Linked DNA regions of Arabidopsis thaliana. The protein of the gene in region 2 interacts with the protein of the main gene of each other region in a pairwise test. Each region holds a gene or a part of one and is shown on either strand. Other genes may lie near its edges.

Region 1 (7,520 bases), 3.0 Mb from region 2:
ACATAACATCTTTTTTTGGTTCAGTCAAAAGTAAGAGCAACAACATTTTCAGAGAAAGGTGAATATTATTCAAACAGACCACCAACTCCTTTATTGGACACAATCAACCATCCAATGCACATGAAAAATCTCTCCATCAAAGTATAAATCCTAATCCAAGTCTTGAACCTTGTTTTGTGTCAAATCAAGGATGTGATGATGAAAAAGTGTTCTGCTATGTAGGAACTCAAAGTTCTTTCGGACGAGTTGAGATCTGATGTTATTTTTAATGTTTCGAAAACTGGAGGACACTTGGGTTCGAATCTTGGTGTTGTTGAGCTCACCGTGGCCCTTCATTACATCTTCAATACTCCTCATGATAAGATCCTTTGGGATGTTGGTCATCAGGTTGGTTATCTCATTGCAAGCATAAGTTTTCCTTTAGCTACATGTACAAGTGTTTTTAACTTGTTTTGTTTTTGTCTTTTTGACAAGTCTTATCCTCACAAGATTCTAACGGGAAGAAGAGGAAAGATGAAGACAATAAGGCAGACCAATGGCCTCTCCGGCTACACCAAGCGAAGAGAGAGTGAGCATGACTCTTTTGGCACCGGGCACAGTTCGACCACACTATCTGCAGGCTTAGGTCATACTTGTTATTTTCTTGTGTCACAAGAAAACAAGAAAAATCACTTTCCTAACATGCATGCGGAAATTGTGAATCAGGGATGGCTGTAGGGAGGGATTTGAAGGGGATGAACAACAGCGTGGTTTCGGTTATAGGCGATGGTGCTATGACAGCTGGACAAGCTTATGAAGCAATGAACAATGCTGGCTACTTACACTCCAACATGATTGTGATTCTCAACGACAACAAACAAGTATCTTTGCCTACTGCTAACTTGGATGGACCAACTCAACCTGTTGGAGCTCTGAGCTGTGCTCTTAGTAGGCTGCAATCTAATTGTGGAATGATTAGAGAGACTAGTTCAACACTGTTTGAAGAACTTGGTTTTCACTATGTTGGTCCAGTTGATGGACACAACATAGATGATCTGGTCTCCATTCTTGAAACATTAAAGAGCACCAAAACCATAGGACCGGTTCTTATCCATGTCGTGACTGAGAAAGGTCGTGGATATCCTTACGCAGAGAGAGCTGATGACAAGTATCATGGTAAAATTAATTTTCATATCTTCTTGACTATACTAAGCACTCTTGGATTGATCCATATTTCTCATTCTTGTCAGGAGTTTTAAAATTTGATCCAGAAACAGGTAAACAGTTCAAAAATATTTCCAAGACTCAGTCTTACACTTCCTGTTTTGTGGAGGCCTTGATTGCAGAAGCAGAGGCAGACAAAGATATTGTTGCCATTCATGCAGCCATGGGAGGTGGAACCATGTTGAATCTCTTCGAAAGCCGCTTTCCTACAAGGTGTTTCGATGTCGGCATAGCAGAACAACATGCAGTTACCTTCGCTGCTGGTCTTGCTTGCGAAGGACTTAAGCCCTTTTGTACAATCTACTCATCTTTCATGCAACGGGCATATGATCAAGTAATAGAGTCACATATTTTTGGTTATTTGCTTATTGTGATGTGGTAACTAGACTAAAACTAGTTTGTGTAGGTTGTACATGATGTTGATCTACAGAAACTGCCTGTGAGATTTGCAATAGATAGAGCAGGACTTATGGGAGCAGATGGTCCAACACATTGTGGAGCATTTGATGTGACGTTTATGGCATGTCTACCAAACATGATAGTAATGGCTCCATCTGATGAAGCAGAGCTTTTTAACATGGTTGCAACCGCTGCAGCTATTGATGACCGTCCTTCTTGCTTTCGATATCATAGAGGAAATGGTATTGGTGTTTCACTTCCTCCTGGTAACAAAGGTGTCCCTCTTCAGGTATGTTTAGTAAAAACAATATTGTGAATCCAAAACTTTAACATTCTAAGTTTTAATCTTTGTGTGTTTTTAATTTCAGATTGGGAGAGGTAGGATACTAAGGGACGGCGAGAGGGTTGCGCTTTTGGGCTATGGATCAGCGGTGCAAAGATGTTTAGAGGCTGCATCTATGCTAAGCGAACGCGGATTAAAGATAACAGTAGCGGATGCAAGATTCTGTAAGCCGTTAGATGTTGCTCTCATTCGTAGCTTAGCTAAATCACACGAGGTTTTGATCACGGTTGAAGAAGGTTCCATTGGAGGATTTGGATCGCATGTGGTACAATTTCTTGCACTTGATGGCCTTCTTGATGGAAAGCTCAAGGTACATTAACAATTTTTTACACATTCTTAATATTCATTTGTATACCATTTGGTACCTGTCTTAAAATGTTCTTTCATTTTGACAAAAGTGGAGACCAATGGTACTACCTGACAGGTATATCGAACATGGATCACCAATGGATCAACTAGCTGAAGCTGGCCTCACAGCGTCTCACATTGCAGCCACTGCACTTAACTTAATGGGAACACCTAGAGAAGCATTGTTTTGGGAGTAACGGGATCTCCATGAGAGTGCTCTTTCCACAAAAAACCTATATCGAGAGAACCCGCTTAGAAGAAGGATATATTATAGTTATATAACATCTTGAATAAATTCATTCACATTCAAGAATGATTTTGTGTGTATTGCTTATATCTCGTTTCAACTAGGCTAAGAAATAGAACAAATGGCTTTGACGTTTTCATCACTAAACACCATAAATTTCTCCATCTCCCAATCACAAAACCCGAACATCGACTGATCCCCTAAACAAATCGATTCCATATCAATCTCGAGAACATTTTCGTTCTCCTTACTAGATTCTTCACCTTTCTCTTCCTTAACTACAATCTTCACTCTTTTGCCAGTCTTCTTCTTAAGCTTCTTCAACAACTTGTTCGGATCAATCTTTCCCCTGACCACAACCTTGTGGTTAATCATATCCGTCACAAACGTTTCAACTCCTATGAAAATTCATAGATCATTCAAATTAGAAACTATAAAAAACATGTATATACCTTTGAAGGAAACGTTACTTTGATTTATACCTTTGAATTTGGAAATAACTCTAGCGATTTTTCTCTCGCAGTCGTTGCAATGCATCGATACATTGAATTCGACATCCATATACTACAACATATCGAAGAAAATTGAGAAAACAAATGAAGTAACGTATTGAAAACAGAGGAAAAAAAACAGAGGATTAACAACAAAAAGGAGAATGTTAAGTAAGATCTTACTCTGACATTGTCCTTTTTCTTCTTATCTTTCGTCATTGTTGAATCGACGACAATTAGTTTATGAAGTTCAGACTGTAGTTTATGTCTGAAGCGACAAGAGATGACAAAAACTCAAAAGAGTCGGATAGTTTTTGAATTTTGTGATGCAATGGCAGTTTAGATTTAGGATGGGAGTTATTGACGGTTAATACCGTTCCTTAATTATTCTGTTCGAGTTTAATAGATGCAAGTGTGAAATGCAAGTGTGAATACTTAATTGAATCTCATTGTAATGTGAATTGTGATAACGGTTCGTTTTTAAAAAAAAAATAGTGTAATGTTGTGACTTAGATATCATTAGATTTAATAATTTAGATATCGTTAGGATAATCCATTATATATTAGAGAAATACGTAAAAATCTACGGTAAATCTCCGGTAAACCCTACTATGTAAGTTTGAGCTTTAATGAAGCCAATGCACCTGTTCAATTAACGTTCCGGCTAATGTTGGTTTTACAATTAACGTTTAAACCTGTTGCCGAACTCGTACCACCCGCTGGTGGAGGTGGTGGTGGATTAAACGTTAATGTTCTTCCTCCGGCTGGTGGAGCGTGGTGGCGTTGAACAAGTAGTAAAAGCTAATCCTAAAGTTTTTTTTTTATTTGAGCGTGGACAGCAGAGTGTGGTCGGATTGTGATGGAGCTCTTTGCAGACACGACACCACGAGCGGCGGAGAATTTCCGGGCCCTATGTACACAGGGAGAAAGGGATGGGGAAGCTTGGTAAGCCACTCCACTACAAGGGATCAATCTTCCACCGTCTTGAACCTAATCAAATGTTCTGTGGAGGAGATTTCACTGCTGGTGATGGAAGCGGAGGCGAATGTTTGCCTTTGGTTTTGAGTTTGGGTGTTTCCATCGATTTTTTAAATAATTTAGCTACCATTCAATGATGAAATAGAAAGGTTAAAGAATCTCTATCGTTGTTCCTCTTTTCAATTTGTTCATAATGACTCAAAACCCAACAGATTATAGTTACACGAGTTAAGCCAAACATGTTACATATACAGCCACTTTCTAAACTAATCTAAAACTGAACTATCATATAGGAGTTTGATCACATTTACTCTTTTACCCGCTACGACGTTGGAACTTACCTTTCCCGTCTTTGATCCATATCGTTGACCGCGTTCTTCTCACATGGTCTGTGAAGAGACGGTACCTAACACAGTTCAAGATTCCCAAGTAAGAAGCCATGAATGAGATGAGACAAAGCTTTGTTCGACAAATATAAGAATTTATTGTCTAATAACAATACCCACCTCTCATACTCAAGCCTTTGGGTAACTATCCCATTTAGTAGTAACTCCGAGCTATATACCTCGGCCCCTGAGAAGAAGGAAAAGAAAAACTGTGATTTCCCCGTGAAATCTACCACATACAAAAGCAGAAGTTATATAGACCAAACTATAAAACTCACCTCTTTCCAGAAAGGGTATACAGATAGCGCGATCCTCTTCACATGATAAGACCAGAAGATTCTCTGGGACCTTATCTTCGCTTAGGGAAGATCTTCCGAGTCTTTCTACAGGCTGGCATTTGTTTTCATTATGGATCAGTTTCGGGGAGAAAAAGTTTTGAAAACATGCACATGAAAGTGTAAAAAGGTGAAGAAATGATTACCAGTCCATGAACTGCTTTAACCAAAGTAGTGATTGTGTTTAAAGCAGGCTTTGTATTTGGAGTGATAAAAACTCTTCTTCCCTGAAATATGTAAATATAATGAGCCGAAAAGGGAGAATAAACGAGGTAAAAAAAGAATTGAAACCAAAAGAGTATTAGATACCTGTAGTAGCGGAAACTGGCGTGCACGAGCCAAAGAAACCCCCATGTTGAAACAGAACTCCTTCTCCTTCTTTGAATCTCTGAGTATATACATATCCTCATCAACGTATATGTTTACTTGATCGATGCTTTCAAGCCATTGTGTTGTGACCACTGGCTTGCCTGAAGCGATTGCCTCTAGCATGTTCCTTGTGCGCGTAAAGTTATCAGCTATGAAGTGTGTTGCCTCCTTCATGGAGGAAGCTTCCGAGATATCAAACCTTGCCAAAATCTGTTAAACATATCATATGCCAGATTGTTAAGAGGTTTACTTTTGTCTAGAAGACTTGGTTAATGCAAAACTGAAAATTCACTACCAATTGTAAAAGAAAAAGCAAGGAATAAGGTCACATGATCGAAGGTAACTAAAGTTACAGTTAGAAACCCAACTATACCTTCTTCTGATGCTTGGTCACATCTTCATCAAGATGCTGGCTGAACAAGACACATATACTACCCAAATCTCTTCTCTTTCTAGTACTCTTTGTCTCGGAGATAGGTTCCGCTACTGGTACGGTTAAGCTACGAAATTCCCTTGTAGTGTGTGATGTAAATGAATCTTTGCAAGAAAGTCTATGATACTCGTCACCCATGCATATAGGCGATACATTTGTTGACGGCGTCTTAGACTTAGCTGGAGTATCAAACGCGGGATCTGAACTCCTCCCAGCCTCATTAACCTGATCTTGTGAAATACGAGCTGATCTTCTCCGCTTGGGATAATTCAACACCTCAGCTTCACCTCTATGTGATTGCTTAAGTAACTTAGACATACAATGTTTGTTTGATAATTCTCCTTGCCTCTTTTCTGTGGTTGACGCAACAGCTTCATCTGGCGTATCAACTTTGTCATTTTTTGAATACCTATCCATATTCTTCTCAAAAGACTTAGCAAGAATTGATCTAGCCTTCTTGTTTTTTGGTTTCAATGATTCAACATCATTGTCCACAGCCTGAATCCCCTTGATCCTCTTGGACTTTCTGGTAACGACTCCACACCTAGAAATGCCTCCTTCCAATAACAATTTCTTACCTATTAGATTATTTGGCTCAGGATCAATTTCCCTGCCGTCCCCAGAGTGCAGAGCATTCATCACTTCAGCAGCCATTTGTGTATCAGGGCCTGCTTCTGCTTCTTCATGCCTATCAAACATTTCTGTATTACTTTCCTGAGAAACTTCATCAAACTCGTCAACAAGATTCTTTTTAGTTTCTCGTGAAGCAGTCTGGACCTTCCTACTCTTCCAGCAGCATGGACCTTCTTTATTAAGCTGGTCACCATTTGAAGATCCTTCGATATTCGTCCGGCAAGCTTTAGCAGGACTAGGACTAGCCTTCTTCATTCTTTTTTTCAACAATTCATCTTTACTCATAGCCTGAATCCTCTTAGTTCCCTTGGATTGTCTAGTAACGACTCCACCGGGAGAAAATCCTCTCTCTTCTTCTGGTGACAGTTTCTTTCCTGTAAGACAACTCGCCTCACCATCAAATTTGCCACGGTCTCCAGAGCACAGATCATCAATCGCTTCAGCAGCCACTTGTGTATCATTCCCTAAAACTGCCGCTTCACGAACTTCATCTAACTCTTTGCCAAGATTCTTTTTAGCACCCTGGATATTCTTTCGGCTCCTAGTCACACTATGCTTCAACAGTTTGGAATCAGAACGAGCCCATCTTTTATCCACTGCAACTGGTATCAGTTCTCTTTTCTGTTCTCTAGGCAAGCTAGAAAATTCCCGTCTTTTACTTGCAACGCCAAAGAATTCATCTTTTCTTCTACGATAGATATCACCCCCTCCTTCATCCTCACGATTATCATCCCAGTCGAAAATATTGTTTCCAACAGCTCCACTTTTGTAACTTACCTTCTTTGCTAATTCTTGTGGACCTTTAAAAATCTGAACAAATTTTGATTTATCTTCTGTTTTCCTTCCATAGTCAGCTTGAACTTCAAAATCAAACTCTAGACGGCACTCACTAATGAGCTTATCAACCAAGTTAAGAGCACTGGCCTGGGATTCCTCACCAGGTTCTTGAGAGCCAATATAACTCAAATTCCCCAGATCGACATTGCAATCAGTAGAATGAAATTTTTCTTCAGGGAAATCCTCTACGAAAAGCTTCCTCGCTGTTTTTTTTCCTGTTCTTAAGTCCTTTTTCTCTTCAACAAATAAACTGGTAAGAGATTGCTGATTCCCTACTTCCCCAACACTATTTTCTAGACCAGAATTATGTGTGGTTCCTTTCCCAGAAGAATGACAGTTGATTAGTGTAGAACAGTCAGTGTTGGCAGATTTTTGGTTTGCAACACGAGCTGCCACAGCAGAAGCACGAAAAGCTGCTGAACGAACTGAAGCGAACCTAGCCACCTTTTTTCCTGGTAAAAGAAAAAAAGGTCATTGGAAAAGTGCAAATGAGAGAGGGAACTTGAAAAGAATGCAAG
Region 2 (9,053 bases):
TGATAATCCTGATTGAATCTCTTCCTGTATTGATTCTTATGCCAGGAATAAAACACTTATCTCAATCTTAATATTTTAGGACAAAGCAACAGTCGAAATGGAATGCATGGAAGAGGGTTTTCTCGCCAAGATAGTAAAGGAGGAGGGGGCAAAAGAAATTCAAGTTGGGGAGGTATGAGAGTTTCTGACTTTTGGAGACTTGTTAATTATAATGGGTTCTCATGAAGTATTTGATTGTGAGCCCTATGCTCCCTTTAGTTGAAGATCAATGAATATTCAATAAAAATGACAAAGATCTTTATCTTCATTTGTAGAATCACATATAAATGGTCCCTTTTTTTTTTGTCCAACTAGGTGATTGCTATCACAGTTGAAGATGAAGATGATATTCAAAAGTTTAAAGATTACACACCCTCATCCGATACTGGTCCCGCTGCGCCTGAAGCAAAACCAGCTCCTTCCCTACCAAAGGAAGAGAAGGTAGAGAAGCCAGCCAGTGCTCCTGAAGCCAAGATCTCTAAGCCAAGCTCAGCTCCTTCAGAAGATCGTATTTTTGCCAGTCCTCTTGCAAGAAAGTTGGCTGAAGATAATAATGTCAGTTTCCAGACGAAAAATATTAGTTAAGCTCGTGTTAGATCTCCATCTCTAATTTGTTTTTCCTACTTTTCCTTTGAAAAACATTAGGTACCTCTCTCAAGCATTAAAGGCACAGGTCCTGAAGGACGGATAGTGAAGGCTGATGTCGAAGATTTCTTAGGTATCAGAAATCCTTGGCTCTTCCCTCTTCTTACATTTTCCCCTCTCGTTACAGAATTTACCTCATCCCTATGTTCTAAATTTCTAATACATCTTCCTATGGTACAGCTTCAGGCAGTAAAGAAACTACTGCCAAACCTTCCAAGCAAGTGGATTCAAAGGTTCCAGCTCTTGACTATGTTGACATCCCTCACACTCAGATACGAAAGGCAAATACCTATACAACCTTATATCTTGATTGCTTGTGGTATTTCTAGATTACCTCGACCATATATCTCTCTGTTTTGTACTATAAGCCAAGAATTCCGAAGTTTTGTTAATTGTATAAATTTGACAGGTCACAGCCTCACGTTTGGCATTCTCAAAGCAAACTATTCCTCACTACTACTTGACCGTGGATACATGTGTTGACAAAATGATGGGGTAAGTATTAAGTTTTAGATCATATATTTTGATTAGGTAAGTGGATGCTAAACATAGCTATTTTTATATGCAGTCTTAGGAGTCAACTCAATTCATTTCAAGAGGCTTCCGGTGGGAAAAGGATATCTGTAAATGATCTTGTTATTAAGGTGCATCTTACTTCTTTTCTTGCAAGTCTAATTAAATCTCATTTTGTTCTCCATTATGAAACCTTTTCTTTTTCGAAATTGCAGGCTGCTGCACTGGCTCTTCGAAAAGTTCCTCAGTGCAATAGTTCATGGACAGATGAATACATCCGCCAGTAAGTACATATTCTGTTTCAGAGGTTCATGAAAACTTTGCAAATCATCTAGTTTCTTGGTTCTTATTTTCCTCCTTTTATGTACAGATTTAAAAATGTGAACATCAATGTCGCTGTACAAACAGAAAATGGGCTCTACGTTCCTGTGGTCAAGGTTAGGGAGCTCTTGATACAGTTATTAACCTTCCTCTGCAGAAACTTGAGATTTCTGAAAAACTCAGTTCATCTAATTGCTTGATTTCAGGACGCGGACAAGAAAGGACTGTCTACAATTGGAGAAGAGGTTCGATTCTTGGCTCAAAAAGCAAAAGAAAACAGCTTGAAGCCGGAAGATTATGAGGTTGGTTTAGAATTCGGTCAATCTCACTAGCATAATACTGCTGTGAAAGCAAATCAGCTCAAACTGTTTCTTCTGACAGGGAGGAACATTCACAGTCTCCAACCTGGGGGGACCTTTTGGCATCAAACAGTTCTGTGCCGTCATCAATCCACCTCAAGCAGCCATTCTAGCAATCGGATCTGGTAAGTCCTTAGCATACTCATCCACTTTATCCGTTGAAGTTTCTTCCGCGTAACTTATTATAGTGTTGGTGTCTGAATCTCAAAACAGCTGAAAAGAGAGTTGTTCCCGGTACTGGTCCAGACCAATACAACGTTGCTTCATACATGTCTGTAACACTAAGCTGTGACCACCGCGTAATAGATGGTACAGAATCCGCCTCTCATTCCTATTGTCATTATTAATCATCACCTCATCGAAAACGTCTAATAAGTCATCTTCCTGTGCAGGTGCAATTGGAGCCGAGTGGCTGAAAGCATTCAAGGGCTACATCGAGACCCCAGAATCTATGTTGCTCTAAAATTCAGACGCACACACACATCAAAAGCTAAACTCATAAGAGTCTTCTGACCTCAAATTTCTTTCCCACAACATATTCTACCAGATTTGATCAGCAGTAGGCAATGGCCTTTAAAGTTGAGTGTTTTGCTATTCTTTAAATCATTGAGTTGACAGATTTTTGTCTCAAAATAAAATCAGGAATCCAACAATTTCACTGTGCACTTGTTTTTTGGCTTAATGCTTGTTCATCATGGGTTGGCAAAATAAAACCCATTTACTTAATTTTATTAATCAACTCCAATAAATATCTCTTTCTTCTAATAAAATGTCACTTAGTTCACTATCATGGACTTAGAGCAGTTTGCTTGCTTAAATGCCAAAACATCATATATCATTAAACCCAAGAAACAGATGTCTTAGGAACTAAAACAATTTATAATATCTCAACAGACCGTCAAAGAAATATCATTAAAATAGCAGAAAATATGTAAAGATAGAACAAAATCTTCTCCTAGATCGTCATCACTTTCGTGCCCTGCGCCTCCGGTTAACCTCCGGGAAATTGAGAGGGGTCGGTAAGGTAGCAACCGTAGTAGAATTCTGCTTCAGGAATTTGCAGCCAAGCTGTAGAAAATGTTTCCTCAGCTCAACTGTGCTTATCCTCAGATCTTTTGCTATGTCTTCTGGATCGGTCATGAAATTATCCACGTGAAGGGATAGCACAAGAACGTAGCTTATCAGAAGGTTGATCTTGTCAACAGGTATCCTATCTGATTCAGAATCCTTGAACATGCTGTTGAATTTTTGACGGAAGATGTCTGGCATCTTGTGGTCTTTAGCGGAATCGTAACCATTCATTGAGTTTCTGTCCTTGAACTTAACCAGATGGGTGAGAAGCGTTGCAGCACCACAAACCGTCTGCTTTTTCATATCGTCCTGCATATGTAACAAAATGACATACATACATAAAGAATCTTCTGAGCAGTAGATAAAACCATGAGAAGTTCAGAATCCATTTAATCAGAGCAAACCGCGAAAGTGGTGCAAGCTAACATAAAATATTTTGCATCCAAGAAAATAGTCATAATTTTACCTTGATATCTCGCAATCTGTACAATCTGTTGCGGACAAATACAGGGTAAGCCTCAGTTGCTGCTTCAGTTTCCTGTTGCAGAAGCCAGTAAATATCTTCAAGAAAACTCCAATCCCCCTTTTCAATGATCTTTTCTAAGGGATAAGCTTCATTTGCAGTCGTTGCAGCGGTATTGTAAGGAGGAATGTTGCGTGCAACAGTAGAACTGGTGCCTTCAAGAGCAGCTGTGTTAACACCTAACTCACTTAGTTTCCCATCAAGGACCTTCTGAGTCGCAGCATCATCTCCCATATATAAGGCACGCTTCTTCTTATCCTGCATAGAGACACACATTCTCACTCAGACATATAATCCTCCCAACGAATCTCACGACAATCAGTTCTCTACTAGTCTGGATACCAATAAGACAGATACTGTAGGAAACAGTAGAATTGGTGTTTTCAGATGCTGTAGTAACATACCCGAGTAACAGCTTTTTTTGTATTATAACGATCGCGTTCTCCTGTTTTTAGTTCTTCAAGTTCTTTGACGACAGCACTTCCTGAAGCTTCTTCCTCATTTGTTTCTTGAGCTTTAACTCTAGGCTCCAATCTGATTATCTACAAGTAACACAAAACCAAACTCAAACTCTCAAAAATCATTTCTTTTCTATTCACAACCATACACTCAAAACATTCCAACTAATTCAAACCAATTAATCACCAAAATCAAAACAAGGTAACAGAATTTAAACCTTATTGTGAGCAACAGGAAGAATCCTCAAAGTTTTAGCCTCTCTATTAAAAACACCAACTCTATAAGTATTCGTCTGCATAGCAGCTTGCTCGCCTGTGTAATTAGTTCCGACGAACTCAACTCTTGCGCCTGGAGGACTTACAACAACCTGAATCCTCTTCTTAGAATCATCCTTATGCTTGTAAACAGTAACCTTGGGAGTTTCATGAACTCTCTTGCCTGTTTTTGGATCTACTTTACAAGGATCGTATCCTGTAGAGAAATAGGCGACGATCGGAGAGATTCTATCGGGTCTCTCGGCGACTTGCGTGACTTTGAGAGTAACTCTCTTGTCTTCTTCGTTTTCATCCTCTGTTTCCGTTGCTATTTTTTTCCCTTTCCTTTGCTTCTTTTGTAGTTGTTGTGGTGTATTGAAATCTTCTTCCTCGTTTCTATAATCATTCTTCTCTTCGCCTTCCATGGCTACTGAGGTTTGGATTCTTTTAGTCTATCGAAGAAGCGGCAGCGATTCAGAGAAGGGTTTACTGGAAACTCACTAAATGCTTAAACCCTAATTTGGTTATGTTTCGGGAATTTATTACATAACAGACCCTTGTTGTTTGTCCGAGTCGATAAAGAAATCTTCACAGTTTTTTTTTTTGACCCCAAACTTTTAATTTGTTTAGAAAGATCTACACCGTTATAACGACGTCTACGGACTACGGAATCTAAACCCTGGCTTTTTCTCTTAGCTAAAACGACACGTAGTTCGCCTGAAACTTAGAAAACAAACACACGCTGTTTGCAAAGATCCCAATTTACATTGATCTACCTCCAAAGTATCTAAACTCTTCTTTAAAGCTTTGGCCACATAACCTTCTTTTAAGTTTTTTTTAACTATGGATTCTATTATCTTCTAATTTTTTCATCATTTCTAGACCAAGTTTCTATGCTGGAACAAATGTAAAATTTTGATCCAAGTACACCAAATTCTTAGTTCGTTTTTAATATAGATATTTCAGGTTAAGTGTATATTGGACTGATATCATCACAACTAGTTTTCACTTTTGACAGTGGACTACTATCGGATCGGTTATTCTTTGATTAGGGTTCTTTAACACGTTCTCTCTCTTTTTTTCGAGTCCAAAATAAAGTCTTGTCGTCCAACTAGCTAGCGTAGGATTTGGTGAACTTGGATACATATATTTTTATTCGTCGTCAAACTTACCTAGCAACAAAACAAGTAATGCTGTACTATTTTATTTTATTTTGATAATCACCTGATCACCTTACCCAGATACATATTTAAGCTGACGTATCAAATATTTGTGTAATATTATATGAGTAACATTTGCAGGTATGTATATCTAATAAAAAATTTAAGAAAAGAGTAAATCGTGGTGTGTGATGTTGATGTACGACCACAGTTTTCTTATGCCACTTACAACTTTTGTAATAGTTGAACATAAAAGAGCTAGCGTTGTGGATAGATAGATGAAAATTAATCTATACAATCGATTAATTAACATTGCCAATATTCAACCACTAGATCATGACTCTGTTACTTGTTAGTAGCTTAATTTATCATTATGTTGAAGATTTTATATGTACTAATGTCACTGTTCACTGTTGCGCAATTAATTAATGTTCTAGTTTTTTTCTCCGCAATTAACTAATGTTCAACTTCAACTTAATTTTGGTTTGTTGAATGGTATGCAACGACTGTTCTTTATCCGCTATATATCTTTATCTTTTTATACCACAAGTCGTATAAGTCATTAGATACAATGACAAGATGACAAATGTAGTACTATGAAAGAAAAGACACGTTGAAAGAAGAGTGACACAAATGAGAGATATGATCTCCCAGAGTCAAATTTGAGGTCTTGCGATTCTCCTATAAACCTCAAAAACTCTATTTAGTTAGAAATATATAAAAAATAACGACGACGCTTCTTCCCTAATGTCGCTATCGTTGACTGACTTGATCAGAATCATATAGTTCTCAAAGAGTAGGTTTTTAATTCCCGTACGTGATCAACAAACAAATGGTTTCAAATTAGACTTTTGCTGATCAAACCAGAAATTTCTATCTCCCTTTCCTTTTTTAAAAAGACTCGTTCTTTTTTTTCCTTTATAATCTCGACAAAGAGAGAAGTTACATATATAAATTTTAAGAATTATAACTCTTTTGTAAAGCATTCATCGCTTCAAATCATGGAGATCAACGGTCAAGAAGGTCATCGATACGAAGAATCATCATCAGAGTGGTTCGTAAAGTATCTAAAACGTCAAGGCGATTGGTTAGAGAAAACTAGAGGGAATCTTATGGTTACAGCTACGGTTATAGCCGGTATGAGCTTTCAAGTTATGGTTAATCCTCCCGGTGGCGTATGGCAAAGTGACAATTGTTCTTTCGGAAATCAAACCGGAACCGCACCGTTTTGTAAGGGGAGAGCGGGAACTGCGGTATTGGAATATGAGAGTTCAAAGCGTATAGCGTATATTGGGATGATTATTAGCAGTACAGTGTCATTTTCTACCTCAATGAGTCTCATTCTCCTTGTCATCAGCGGTATACGACTAAGGTACCAATAAATAAACTATATGTGCAACTCCATATAACAAGGCTACTTAGTATGTAAATTATTATAACTTGTTTGTATGTTAAGTCTGGAATTTTTATGTAACGCTTGTGTTTGACAAGATATTACTGAGAACTAAAAATAGTCATCTAAATTGAGATCTTGGTGTTGACTTTCGGTTTTAAGTATACCAACTATGTCGGCACAATGGTTGACTTAACATTAGCTATTTCAACAAAACTGGTCTGATTGGTAAAAATACTAATTCGATCGCTATTTGATTGGACTTTAAAACTATGGAAAGTTGATGACATATATCATAGTTATCTAATGGAATTTTGGTACACTCAGAATAAGTAGAGAAATTGTTTGGTATTAGAATAAACTAAAAGACACTTATATGATGATATAATTGTGTATATGAAGGAACCGGATGATAATGGCTATCCTCGGAACATTTATGGTGGTGGCGGTTCTTTGTATATCAGCGGCGTTCTTCTTCGCCATCGTGCTGGTTCAATCCGACGATCAAATAATTCGTTATATACTATTGATTTATGTGGGATTTTGGGTTGTATTTCCTGTTTTGATACTTTTAATCCAACTTGTTCGATTTATAGGTTGGCTTATTTGTTTCATGTGTTGTTGTTGTTGTCCACGTCGGCGACGGTTCCATTAGGGAGAGGTCCCATTAAGAAGAGAAGGAACCCGTGTTTCGAACCCACGTATGAATTTGGAACTTGATGTAGGAAAGTGATACTAGAATAAAAGTCTCCCAAGGACATTGTTATAACGTTTATTAATTCTATGGGTTATTTTTAAACTGTTTAATAAATGCATTTGATTATGTGAATCTTGGCAATTGTGTGGGTTGGTTTGTTGTAAAGTTAATTAATTGCGTGGGTTTGTACTGTTTAATAAATTCGTTTGATTAAAAATTGTATGTTCAAATAATGTGAATCGTGGCAATATCGCCTTGTGAATCGTGATTGGTGAACGATCGTGGTAATTTTTTTTTTTGCCAATAGTTATTCTTACCATGATCTTAGTCCAAATCGCTCGTATAACACAGTAATAAATAAATACAAAAAAAAAGAACAAAGAAAACAAACTAGAATGCGGTGCACACTAGAATGAAACATTACAAAAAACGATTGTGAGCATCTCGTTAATGGGAGAGATTAATATATCCGGAACAAAGCAATAAATATTTTCTCAAAAAAAAGAAGATATAATCATCTCAAAAAAAAAACAAGATAATTCTTTTGACGTAGAATATATAGTAAATAAAAAAACGTGGAATATAGCAATGTTTCATATATATATTCGTAAATCGTTGATTTTTATGTGATTGGATGGATGATGAAGCAAAAGTATTATATTCCCTTATATAAAACGAAGAATATCGTAAAGAACCCTCGAGGCCTAAAAGATGGTTAGGGTATAGACTATAGGCTATAGTATTAACATGTCAATTGTAAATGTCATGAAACTGAAAAAAGAAATAGGGAAAAGTGAGTCAAAGGGAGAAAAGGAGGTAGGTCTCTTGCCCTATAATATCTGCATTTACCCACCCATCATCTCCTATAATATAACCCATTTATAACTCTCCATTTTCTTCTTTTTTTGGTAAAAGTTTGAATTAACTCTTCATTTTCATTTTAATTAATTCGCTAAAAACATAATAAAAACAAGAAGAGAATAGATGATGATGATACAGATGAGTGACTAAAATGGAAATTTATGCACTAAAATGGAAATATCCCTTGGTCCAAAGGTCTTTCCACCTTCTTCTTCATAGCTTAATCACCATGATTATGATCATATATATCTTTGACCAACCAACAAGAGTGGAGCTCTAACTAATATGTGTAGGTACCATCTTACATATCTCCATATACGCATGCATATCATTTTCGAACCAATTTAGAAGGTGATGTATATAATCAAAAGTATTTAGGATGATGGTTTATCGCGTGAACACCATTTTGTTTAAGTACGTGGTCATCGCAAGGTAACCATCTTTATTTTCTTGGGTTGATCTTCACTAGCTATATATTAACCAATTACATATGTATTATTTTGTACTGAAGAAAGGATATAATTTGTAATCGCCAAATGATTGAATTAGTATTTGCTAATTACAAAAATTTGTAGAAATCGCGATAATTATCAACTTTTTTACTATATCCCATCATTCTACTATTACGCAATGTTATCAATTGTACTAGTTTGTTTCATCCACTATGTAAAATCATTCAAACCCTAAAGTCGATGCTCATCAGCTCATGTATATGTATGTATCATGTATATGTACATAAGATATAAAACCTTTATAGA
Region 3 (8,895 bases), on a different chromosome or scaffold from region 2:
ATAATAACTGTGGATGGCATTCGTGGCCCCTACTCTCCAAAACAAACTCACAACGCTCCAAACAAACCATTGTCACTCATCCATAAACCTCTCTCTTTCTTCTCTCTCTCTCTCGTTTGGATCTGGCCGTTGATTTTCTCCCGACGGCGATAAGTTTGTTGCATGAACGCCGGTGATGGCTTCTGTTTGCGTCAACAATGTTACTGTTTCTCAGGATTTTCCTACTTACGGATGTTTCAATCCACGAGCTTCTTTCAGCCGTGACGACGGTGGTCGGAGTTCTGGATCCGTCGCATCGGAGATTCCGAAGGAGGAAACAGCAGTCGGAGCTGGTGATTTCGAGTTTAGGTTAGAGGAGGATCCAGTCGGAATGCTCCCAGCCGATGAGCTTTTCTCCGACGGTAAACTCGTGACGAAGCAGCAACAACAACAGACGACGGAGATCGGCGGGAAATGCAGGAGGATGGAAGTCGTGGAGATTGAGATCTCCGGGGGTGGCGATAATTGCTCGTTTTCTCCAAAGGCGCCACGGTGTTCAAGTAGATGGAGGGACTTGTTAGGACTCAAACGATTCTCTCAGAATAGCAGCAAATCCGCGTCGACTGCGACGACGACGACGACGAATCCGAGATCGTCAACTTCGTCGTTGAAACAGTTCTTGCATCGGAGCTCCAGGTCCTCGTCGTCCTCTTCAGATGCTTCGTTACTCATGAGTCTTCCTCTCCTCAAAGATTCCGATTCCGAATCTGTCTCTATATCCTCTTCTCGTATGTCTCTCTCCTCTTCCTCCTCTGGCCATGACCACGAAGATCTTCCAAGACTCTCTCTCGATGCAGAGAGACCTAACCAAAACCACATCATTAACCTCAACCACAATCTCACTGCGAATCCATTTGCTCCGGCTCGTAGCCTAAACCCAAATCCACCGAGAATGAGGTTAGTGAACCATTCAACATCAGGAACCGGAGGAGGAAGAGTTGGACGCAGTCCGATGCGACGTTCCGGTGGAGAAACATCAGCCATAATGAACAGAGGAGTCTCTGTAGACAGTCCAAGACTAAACTCTTCAGGTAAAATCGTGTTCCAGAATCTAGAACGAAGCTCAAGCAGTCCGAGTAGCTTCAATGGTGGAACAAGCGGGTATAGACACAGAGGAATGGAGAGATCGTATAGCTCAAACGTTAGGGTTACTCCAGTTTTGAACGTTCCCGTTTGCTCAATCAGAGGTGGTTCAGTAGTCTTTGGTCAGTTTTTCTCTTCCTCGTCATCTTCATCTTCGTCGCAGAACAATAGAACAGGGAACAACAACAATAATAGAGCGTCGTGTCACATCAGTAGAGGCCGTAACTCCACGGATCGAATCTAACCCGACTATTATAAATGAAGGAACCATCAATGGTAACAACAACACTGTATTGATTCAACAGTAGCTAGCTAGTACTCTAGTAGTAATCATTCTGTTTTTTGGTTTGTTTACAACAAATCTTATTTTTAACAGAGCTTTTTTTTTATAAGGTATTAGAATTGTCCTGGGTGTGTAAATAAAGAATCTGCCATTGGTGAAGTGTAATTCTAGGGTTCATTGACATAGATAGAGACACAAAATTGGAAATGGAGACTCCTAAATTGTGTGTTTTTGCTTGTGCTTGGGTTGAGAGAGACACATAGAGAGAGTGAGGTAGACGCGCTAAAGGGATGCGCGTGGGTCAGAACATAGGAAACAGATTCTTTTGCTCTCTATCATATGCTCTTCTTCTGCGTGTATTTGCGCTCTCCCCACGTTGAAGCTTATCTAAGCTGTCTCTTTCATGTGATTTTATTTTTAATGTATCTTTTTATTATATAGTTTATTTTGTCGTTTTCTGTGTTTCGGAAATGATGCAGTCTTCAGAGACTTTACCACACTTTTCTCTTTCTTTCTTTATTTTGAGTTTTTTTTTTTTCTTTTTTTTTGCGGTTTATTTATTCGTTGGTTGTTGTTTTGTTAATCAAGGAAGGTTCGTTTAACCATTAATGTTGGAGCTATTGGTGGTCTTCGGTTTGAATCATCACATGTTTAAGTGTCAGGATTTCACGACCTTATTATCATAATGGTACGTGAAAGGTACCAAACTGTTCAAAGACTACTATTAAGTCGTATTAAAAAATGATAGATTGGACCAGCAATAGAGATTGTACAAGTACAAGACCCCCTAAGCTTCTTTCACCTGTCTCTATCCCTCCTGTTGTACTTCTCTCTTTGGTCCCCTTTCTCCTCCACTCACTTACTTAAAATACCCTAACAGCATTTGTGGTACAGGCTTTCTAATCAAATTCCATTTTGAGAAAAAAAAAAGTGTATATAGTCTTGAAAGTAACATCTATGATACTTACTAGTCATTACTTTGCAGCTCATGATTTGTAAAAGCAGCGAATAAAAGAGCAAAAGTAAGCTAGTTTTGTGGGTTTAAGACATACTTTAGAAGAGTTCCCGAAATGGGGCTTAGGTTTTTGTGTTTGTATGGATGTACCCACTAAACGGACCAATTAGATATTTGGTCAGAGGCTCGGTCTTCCATAGTTTTAATTTACCTCTTTTCTTCTGCATCATCATTAACTATTAACACCCTTACAAGTCACACCCATCATCATCGTTCACATAAATAGAAAGTTTAATCATAATAATGAAAAAAACATGGTTCTTTATAGAAGGAAGATAGTAATTATCGATCAACTAAAGAAAGTTGTGGCCCATGTAGTCTCCTCCTTATGAAAAGCTTGTAGTCTACAGAGAGAGCACTAGGACATCTAAAAACTAAAAGCCTACGAGATCCAATTATATAGGCATTCAATCACGTGACCCAGCGCAGAAGACACGTGACTCTGTTATATACGGGCATCCTCCTATCGATTTTGTCGTAGACCCACGTGACAAGATTTTATGATTATTAGATATTAATTTTTGTAAAGCCTATTACCAACAAGGCAACAATGCAACCAAAACGAAATAAAATAAAATAAAACGACCCGACATATTCACTTGAAAATTCTGTTCTACATGATTGATTGATGGACCATGTGGTTCATCGAATTAGAGCTTGCAACGATACAAAATAACAATTACTTATCTATTATAATAAAACAATCTAAATAAAAAAATGAAACTTGGGTATTCTAAACTAGAAACGAACTGATCCAATAAAAGCCCACTTAAAAGCCCAATAACACAACAATATGAGAAAACACTTGCGCTTGTACAAAAACACTCACCTCTTTGGGTTTGCTCCCAAATCCGAAGATGAGAGTGACAGAGTAACAGAGAGTGAGTAAGTGTTTCGTCATCATGTAGTTTCCGAGGATGCTTTCTCTGTGTTACAGTGAAAACAAAGTGAGATAATAATGCACTATATATAGATGACGAAGTAGTGAGTTCACAAATTCCCAAAACTAATAAAATTTTGGATTTGGTTTTGATAAAAGCATTTATAACCTTGCGTGGTGTTGGCAGAGAGCATGTGATCGATGTTATCGATACGTCGTTGGACAGATTTAAGAACAAGATTCAGAGATGAAACTCTTTGTTTGACGCTGGAAATTCTCGATGCGTGTTGTACAATGAATGGCAATGGAGCGTTTTCCAGTAATTGATCTAGCTCTGTGTTTCCATCACATTCAAATTTTGTTGTGTGAAAAAACAAAACACTATCCAATCTAAAAATTTCACAAGAATCAATTCTTAAGCAATTTTGTTAGACCAATGGCAATATAATGGTTAAGAAACTTAATCGGATCAATTGGATTGATTTGTGCGTAATCTAATTAACAAATACGGAGACGAAGCTTGTGAATCGATTGATTTCACCAATTAAGTTAAATACGAATCTCGGGAAGAGGTTAAATTGTACCTTGGACAAGGCGATCGAGAGAACCGGAGAGTTCATCTTGGCTATTGAGCGTGTCAAGAGCTTTAGAGTCAAAGTCTTTAATGACGGACTCGAGCATCGCTGATAAGCCTCGAGCCATTGCTTCTCCGCCGCCGCCGCATTGACCATCTTCTGCGGTGGTGGATTGACATGAGCTAGTAGTTGCATCAGCAGAATCGCGGTGGTCCGAGTCTGATAGCTGCTCCATTTCCCGGCGAGGCTCTCCTAAAGTTTGTTGGTTTTTTAAGGTTTTCTTCAAGAGGAAAAAGAGCCTTGTGTGGATAATGACGCAAATAGCCCTGAGAAGTTAATGTATTTCCGATTCAGATATTTTAGGGCTTTTCTACAAATGTGTGTGTGTGTATATATGTTTAACGACGCCTTCATTTCTCCGATTCGATTCAGAGCGACAAGATGAGAGCCAAGGTCAGTTTTTTATCTACAACTTTAGCTATGCTTCTGTAGGTTTTATCAAAAATGTTGTGTGTTGATCTTTAAGTATATTGGGAATTTTGTGAATTGCTGTTTATAGAATCAGTCGAGTGAGATTGAAACCTTGGTTTAGTGTAGCACGACCTGTAGGATATTGAAATTTATTGATTAGGATTGTGATTTCTACTCATGGTTTTGCTCTTGCCGAAAGAGAATGTTGGGATTTTCATCAAAAGTTCGGTTATTGTTAAATTTGGGATTTGATATAAGAGCTCTGTTTTCTGGAAGATTTGGTATGAAATGAGATACTCTGGTTTGTAACAGTTGAGTTTTATATCTCACAATGTTGGTCTCTCCTAATATTGATCATATCATTTTATGTGTGATTTGTACTTGATGGAAGAGAATGTTGGGATTTTAATCAAGTTTTGGGTTATTGTTGAATTTACGATTTCAATTTCACTATCTTGATCTCTCCTACTATGTAAATTTTATGGTTGATCATTGCCTCTTTTTTTTTTTTTTTTGGGTGAGTAGAAGCCAATTCTGATCCATACAATATGATCCTAGTTTGGGTTTAGTGAATGGTTTTTGTTTTTCTTTTGCAGTGGAAGAAGAAGCGTATGAGGAGGCTTAAGAGGAAGAGACGAAAGATGAGACAGCGTTCTAAGTAAATTTGCCTTTGAAGACAATGCGACTCTGTTTCTTGCTTCTCTCCCTTTCTCTCTTGCAAACATTGTTCTTACTATAAGCTTCCTTTTATGTTTCAGACTTGTTTAAGATTTTAATCAAAAAGAAAGTTTCAGACTTTACTTCATCGTCTACACCTATTCGCTGCTAGAATTTACACATTGTCTCCATTTGTTTCAATCGGATCTTTAAGATGTTAGGCACAATGTGTGTGTGTTACTTGATTCTTATTGATCTCTGATCTGTTGTTCTAAACCTGAAGATTACATGAATCATCGTCTCCATAAAAATGATACAAACAGTGAAAAAATACTGTATACTAAAAGTTTTATAGAAAAGAAAAAAGCCTCATGGTGTTCGTTATCTTCGCCTCCTACCCATCAATCTAAATTGAACTGCATTACAATCCTATCTACTGCGTTCTGTCCTATAACCTTACGCAATCGTAGCTCATCAAGAACTTCTTTAGCCAGCTCCAATTCATCCTCATGAGCTATCCCTTCAACGAGTATCGCATATGTTGTCTCATTCGGCATTCTCTTCTTCTCAACCATCATCTCAAACACCTCCATTGCCAAATCTGTCCTCCTTATCTTGCACAACCCTAGGATCATGGCGTTAAAGTTATCCACTGTAGGTTTACAATTCTCACTCTCTTCCATTATCGACAAAACCTCCATGGCTCCTGTAAACATCCCTTCCAGACACAGCCCTCTGATCAAAGCCGAGTAGGTGTGCGCATCGGGATCAAACCCGCACCTAGTCATCTCGTACAAGAGCTGGAACGCTGCAAAGGTGTTACCTTTCCTGCAGAGACTCGTGATTACGCTTTTGTAGAAATCATGCGTGCAGCATTTCTGCTTGTTGCTTAAGCTCTGTATTATGTAAAACGCTTCCTGCACCTTGCTGTTATGCTCGCATAACGAACCTATTGCATTGTACGTTCCTTCGTTTGGTTTACAACGCCGGTATATCATCTCGTCTAGACATTTCACAACAAGATCAACTTTTCCTTCCTTGCACAGACGGGCGATCACCGGATTATAGCTCGTGGCAGTGACTCTAAACTGATGATTTCCTTTGCTCATCTCCTTTAAAACCTGCAGTGCCTGCTCTGTTCTTCCATGAAAAGCTAACGAATTGATCAATATGTTATAGGTAACAACTGAAGGAGCTCGATCTCCACCGTCCATCTCAGCCAAGAGCGAATTCGCTTCCTCCCACCTCCCATCACAGCACAAACACCTCAACAAAATGTTATAGCTCACAACATTTGCCTTAAACCCTTTTGCAGGTAATTCCCTAAACAGCGCCATGGCATCGTCTGTTCTCCCTTCTTTACAGAAACCAGTCAACAGCACATTATAGCTAACCAAATTGGGTTCACCGCCTTTCACAATGATCTCATCTAAGAGCTTCACAGCTTCGTCGGTTCCTCGTTCTTTATAAGCTGCTTCAAGCAAGAAAGAATAAGTGAAAGCATTTGGAGCTAAGCCTTTCTGCATCAACCTCTCAACAAACTGTAAGCTTTGATTTAAGCTACCAAGCATACAAAGACCTCGAACCAAGGCATTGTAAGTAACGGTATTAGAAGGATAACCATGATCTTCCATTTTCTCAACAAGCTGCATCGCATAACCAACGTTACCTCTTTTACAAAGCTGATTAACCAAATACGTGTAAGCAGATGCATCGGGTATAATCCCGGAGCTAACCATAAGCTCAATCACACGAATGGCTTTCTTCAATCTATTGGCTTTGCAGAGATCGTACAAGAGCTGAGTAGAATGAGCTACATTGGGTTTATGCCCTCCCGTGACTAAACTTTCTAGATGAGAGAAACTATCGCTCAAATTCGGCTCGTCGCTTCTCGGGTCATCAGAAAACGACCCGGAATCCAAATCGGGTTTCCAACTGGATCCAGTAATGGTAAAGGCGGAGTCTTTAGGGGATAATGTTATCTGGGTCGAAGCTAAAACCCTAGCAACACCTTTACTGACGGAGGAGAAATGAAGGAAACCAGAAGGGATGTGGGAAACAAAACCTACGGCTTTTCTCGGCGATGATTCCGGTGACGCCATGGATAAGACTGAGTTCAGTAGAGTCGACATGGCTTAAAATCGGACAGCAATCAGAAAAAGGAAGGAGATGAAATGAAAGTTTTGGGTTTTACGAACAACCCAGAAAAGAAAAGGATCATTATGTACTTTCCCACTCTCTGATCCTAAATCAAATTCAATCTAATTATTTTTCATTCTTGTGTTCTTCTTTAGATCCGAAAGGTTTGGTTCCTTTTTTCCTCCGCCTCTGTTATCAACGCGTCCAAACATGCGCGTGTACACCACTCTTTTAGCCGAAACGTGAATGCTCGAGCTTGTGAGAGAAGATGGTACGAAGAACAAATTGAGTAATCATTACCAAAGCATAACTCAGAATGTTTATTGGTAAAACAGAGTAAGAAAAAAAAAGGAAAGAGAATTTATCAAAAACATAAACAAGGTTTCAAAAACAAATATCGAAACGACAATGAGATCAACTAAACAAAAGACAGAAATACAAATGCCTGAAACCTCTTCATAAGTTCTGCAAAACCTAAAGACTTTTTTCTCTGTACAGAGACCAAACTTCTTCTCCACTGCTTTTACCTATAAGACACAAAACCAGTATTGTCCATTTGAAGGAAGAATCCTAACTCTCTGATGCAAATAGAAATAGTTTGAATCGATTCTCTCTACCTTTCTTCCCGCGGTATCTGCGTGATCTTTATGCCTTCATATACAGACTTCACCATACAGTTTCTTTGATTTTACTGTTTCAATCTTCATCCTATCAACTTAATACTGGCTCGGTTTTCTGGCTTCCGAGCATAGATCGTTTCAAAAACTCCATCAGTATCCTCTTTTGCTGCTCATCAATGTGTGGGAAACTTGAACGTAGAAGCTCTATTGGCATTTCGCGGACAATGGCTTTTGCAGCTTCTTCAGATATCTCAGTGGCAAAATGCGGTGGCAATTGCAAACTCTGCATGATGCTATCGTATTTGCTGATGCAGTACCTCATCAACATATTAAAGAACTCATTAAAGGAAGCGCGCCATAGAGCTATCCCTGCGTTGTTGAAATTATTAGCCCGGATAAGCTCGGAAGCTCTGTCGAGTATTGATTTCAATACTGTGGAAGCTCCGTCTCCAACAGGACTGCCTAAGGGGCGGAGCGGTGCCTGCTCAGAAGAACAAGACACCGCTGCTAGACACGTGCTTACCGGTCCTAACTCCATGTTTTGAATGCACAAGTTGATAACTGTTGCAAGCTTATTTGTGGTTTTGATGATATCGGGGTCAGATGAAAGGACTCCGAACAATGACCTTAAATGACGGAAAATGGCCATGCAAACTATCCGCATTAGGTCGCTGCCAGGGAAAATTAGCTGAAGATACCTTATAAGTAGCTTTCGACCCTTTGGAAGAGAGATAACCCTTAGAAAGAGAAAATCATCAAGAGACTGGCTTTGCCCATTCTTGGCGAGGGGATCACCGAGCTGAAGTGAAACCGCAAGGCTCTGCAACAATGCTTGTCGTCTTTGTTTCAACTGGTGTCCTCCGTCCTGGAGTTGGTTAAACTCCAAGAAACGATCTATATCATCAACTTCAAGGAGGAGACAAAGACCATCCTCAATGTACACTCTAGCTGCAAGCATCGGCTCTTGATCAAGGGGCTTATCCGTAGGTTTATGCTCTGCATTACCAAATTTAGCTGAATTTGGAGGGTCCACTTCAAGCAGAGGACGAGGCCTGCGGATTGAAGAGAAAGGAACCCTACCAAGAGCCTCAACCTGAAGAAAAGCATGGGGCTCGTTGTTCGACCGTGCACGC

The links.
Region 1: the proteins of AT3G13940 (region 2) and AT3G21490 interact in a two-hybrid assay, tested with the Arabidopsis thaliana proteins (one large-scale study listed by BioGRID).
Region 3: the proteins of AT3G13940 (region 2) and AT1G79070 interact in a two-hybrid assay, tested with the Arabidopsis thaliana proteins (one large-scale study listed by BioGRID).

Annotation. Positions count from the first base shown.
Region 1 is NC_003074.8:7,568,795-7,576,314, reverse strand, and holds AT3G21490 (Heavy metal transport/detoxification superfamily protein), read right to left. Parts: upstream 3,251-7,520; coding exon 3,215-3,250; intron 3,105-3,214; coding exon 3,023-3,104; intron 2,939-3,022; coding exon 2,646-2,938; downstream 1-2,645. Other genes in the region: DXPS1 (1-deoxy-D-xylulose 5-phosphate synthase 1), read left to right, coding at 25-141, 223-387, 475-625, 706-1,155, 1,230-1,537, 1,610-1,891, 1,971-2,255, 2,344-2,490; AT3G21480 (BRCT domain-containing DNA repair protein), read right to left, coding at 4,325-4,415, 4,516-4,582, 4,674-4,785, 4,877-4,957, 5,040-5,309, 5,473-7,454. UniProt on the Arabidopsis thaliana protein: Heavy-metal-binding protein.
Region 2 is NC_003074.8:4,597,804-4,606,856, forward strand, and holds AT3G13940 (DNA binding / DNA-directed RNA polymerase), read right to left. Parts: upstream 4,780-9,053; 5' UTR 4,610-4,779; coding exon 4,148-4,609; intron 4,014-4,147; coding exon 3,876-4,013; intron 3,730-3,875; coding exon 3,415-3,729; intron 3,258-3,414; coding exon 2,844-3,257; 3' UTR 2,619-2,843; downstream 1-2,618. Other genes in the region: AT3G13930 (Dihydrolipoamide acetyltransferase, long form protein), read left to right, coding at 80-172, 355-594, 685-757, 865-965, 1,094-1,179, 1,253-1,328, 1,413-1,480, 1,568-1,634 and 4 more; AT3G13950 (ankyrin), read left to right, coding at 6,346-6,716, 7,140-7,392.
Region 3 is NC_003070.9:29,741,698-29,750,592, forward strand, and holds AT1G79070 (SNARE-associated protein-like protein), read right to left. Parts: upstream 4,119-8,895; 5' UTR 4,111-4,118; coding exon 3,885-4,110; intron 3,635-3,884; coding exon 3,470-3,634; intron 3,347-3,469; coding exon 3,321-3,346; 3' UTR 2,574-3,320; downstream 1-2,573. Other genes in the region: AT1G79060 (TPRXL), read left to right, coding at 176-1,366; AT1G79080 (Pentatricopeptide repeat (PPR) superfamily protein), read right to left, coding at 5,405-7,135; AT1G79090 (topoisomerase II-associated protein), read right to left, coding at 7,854-8,895.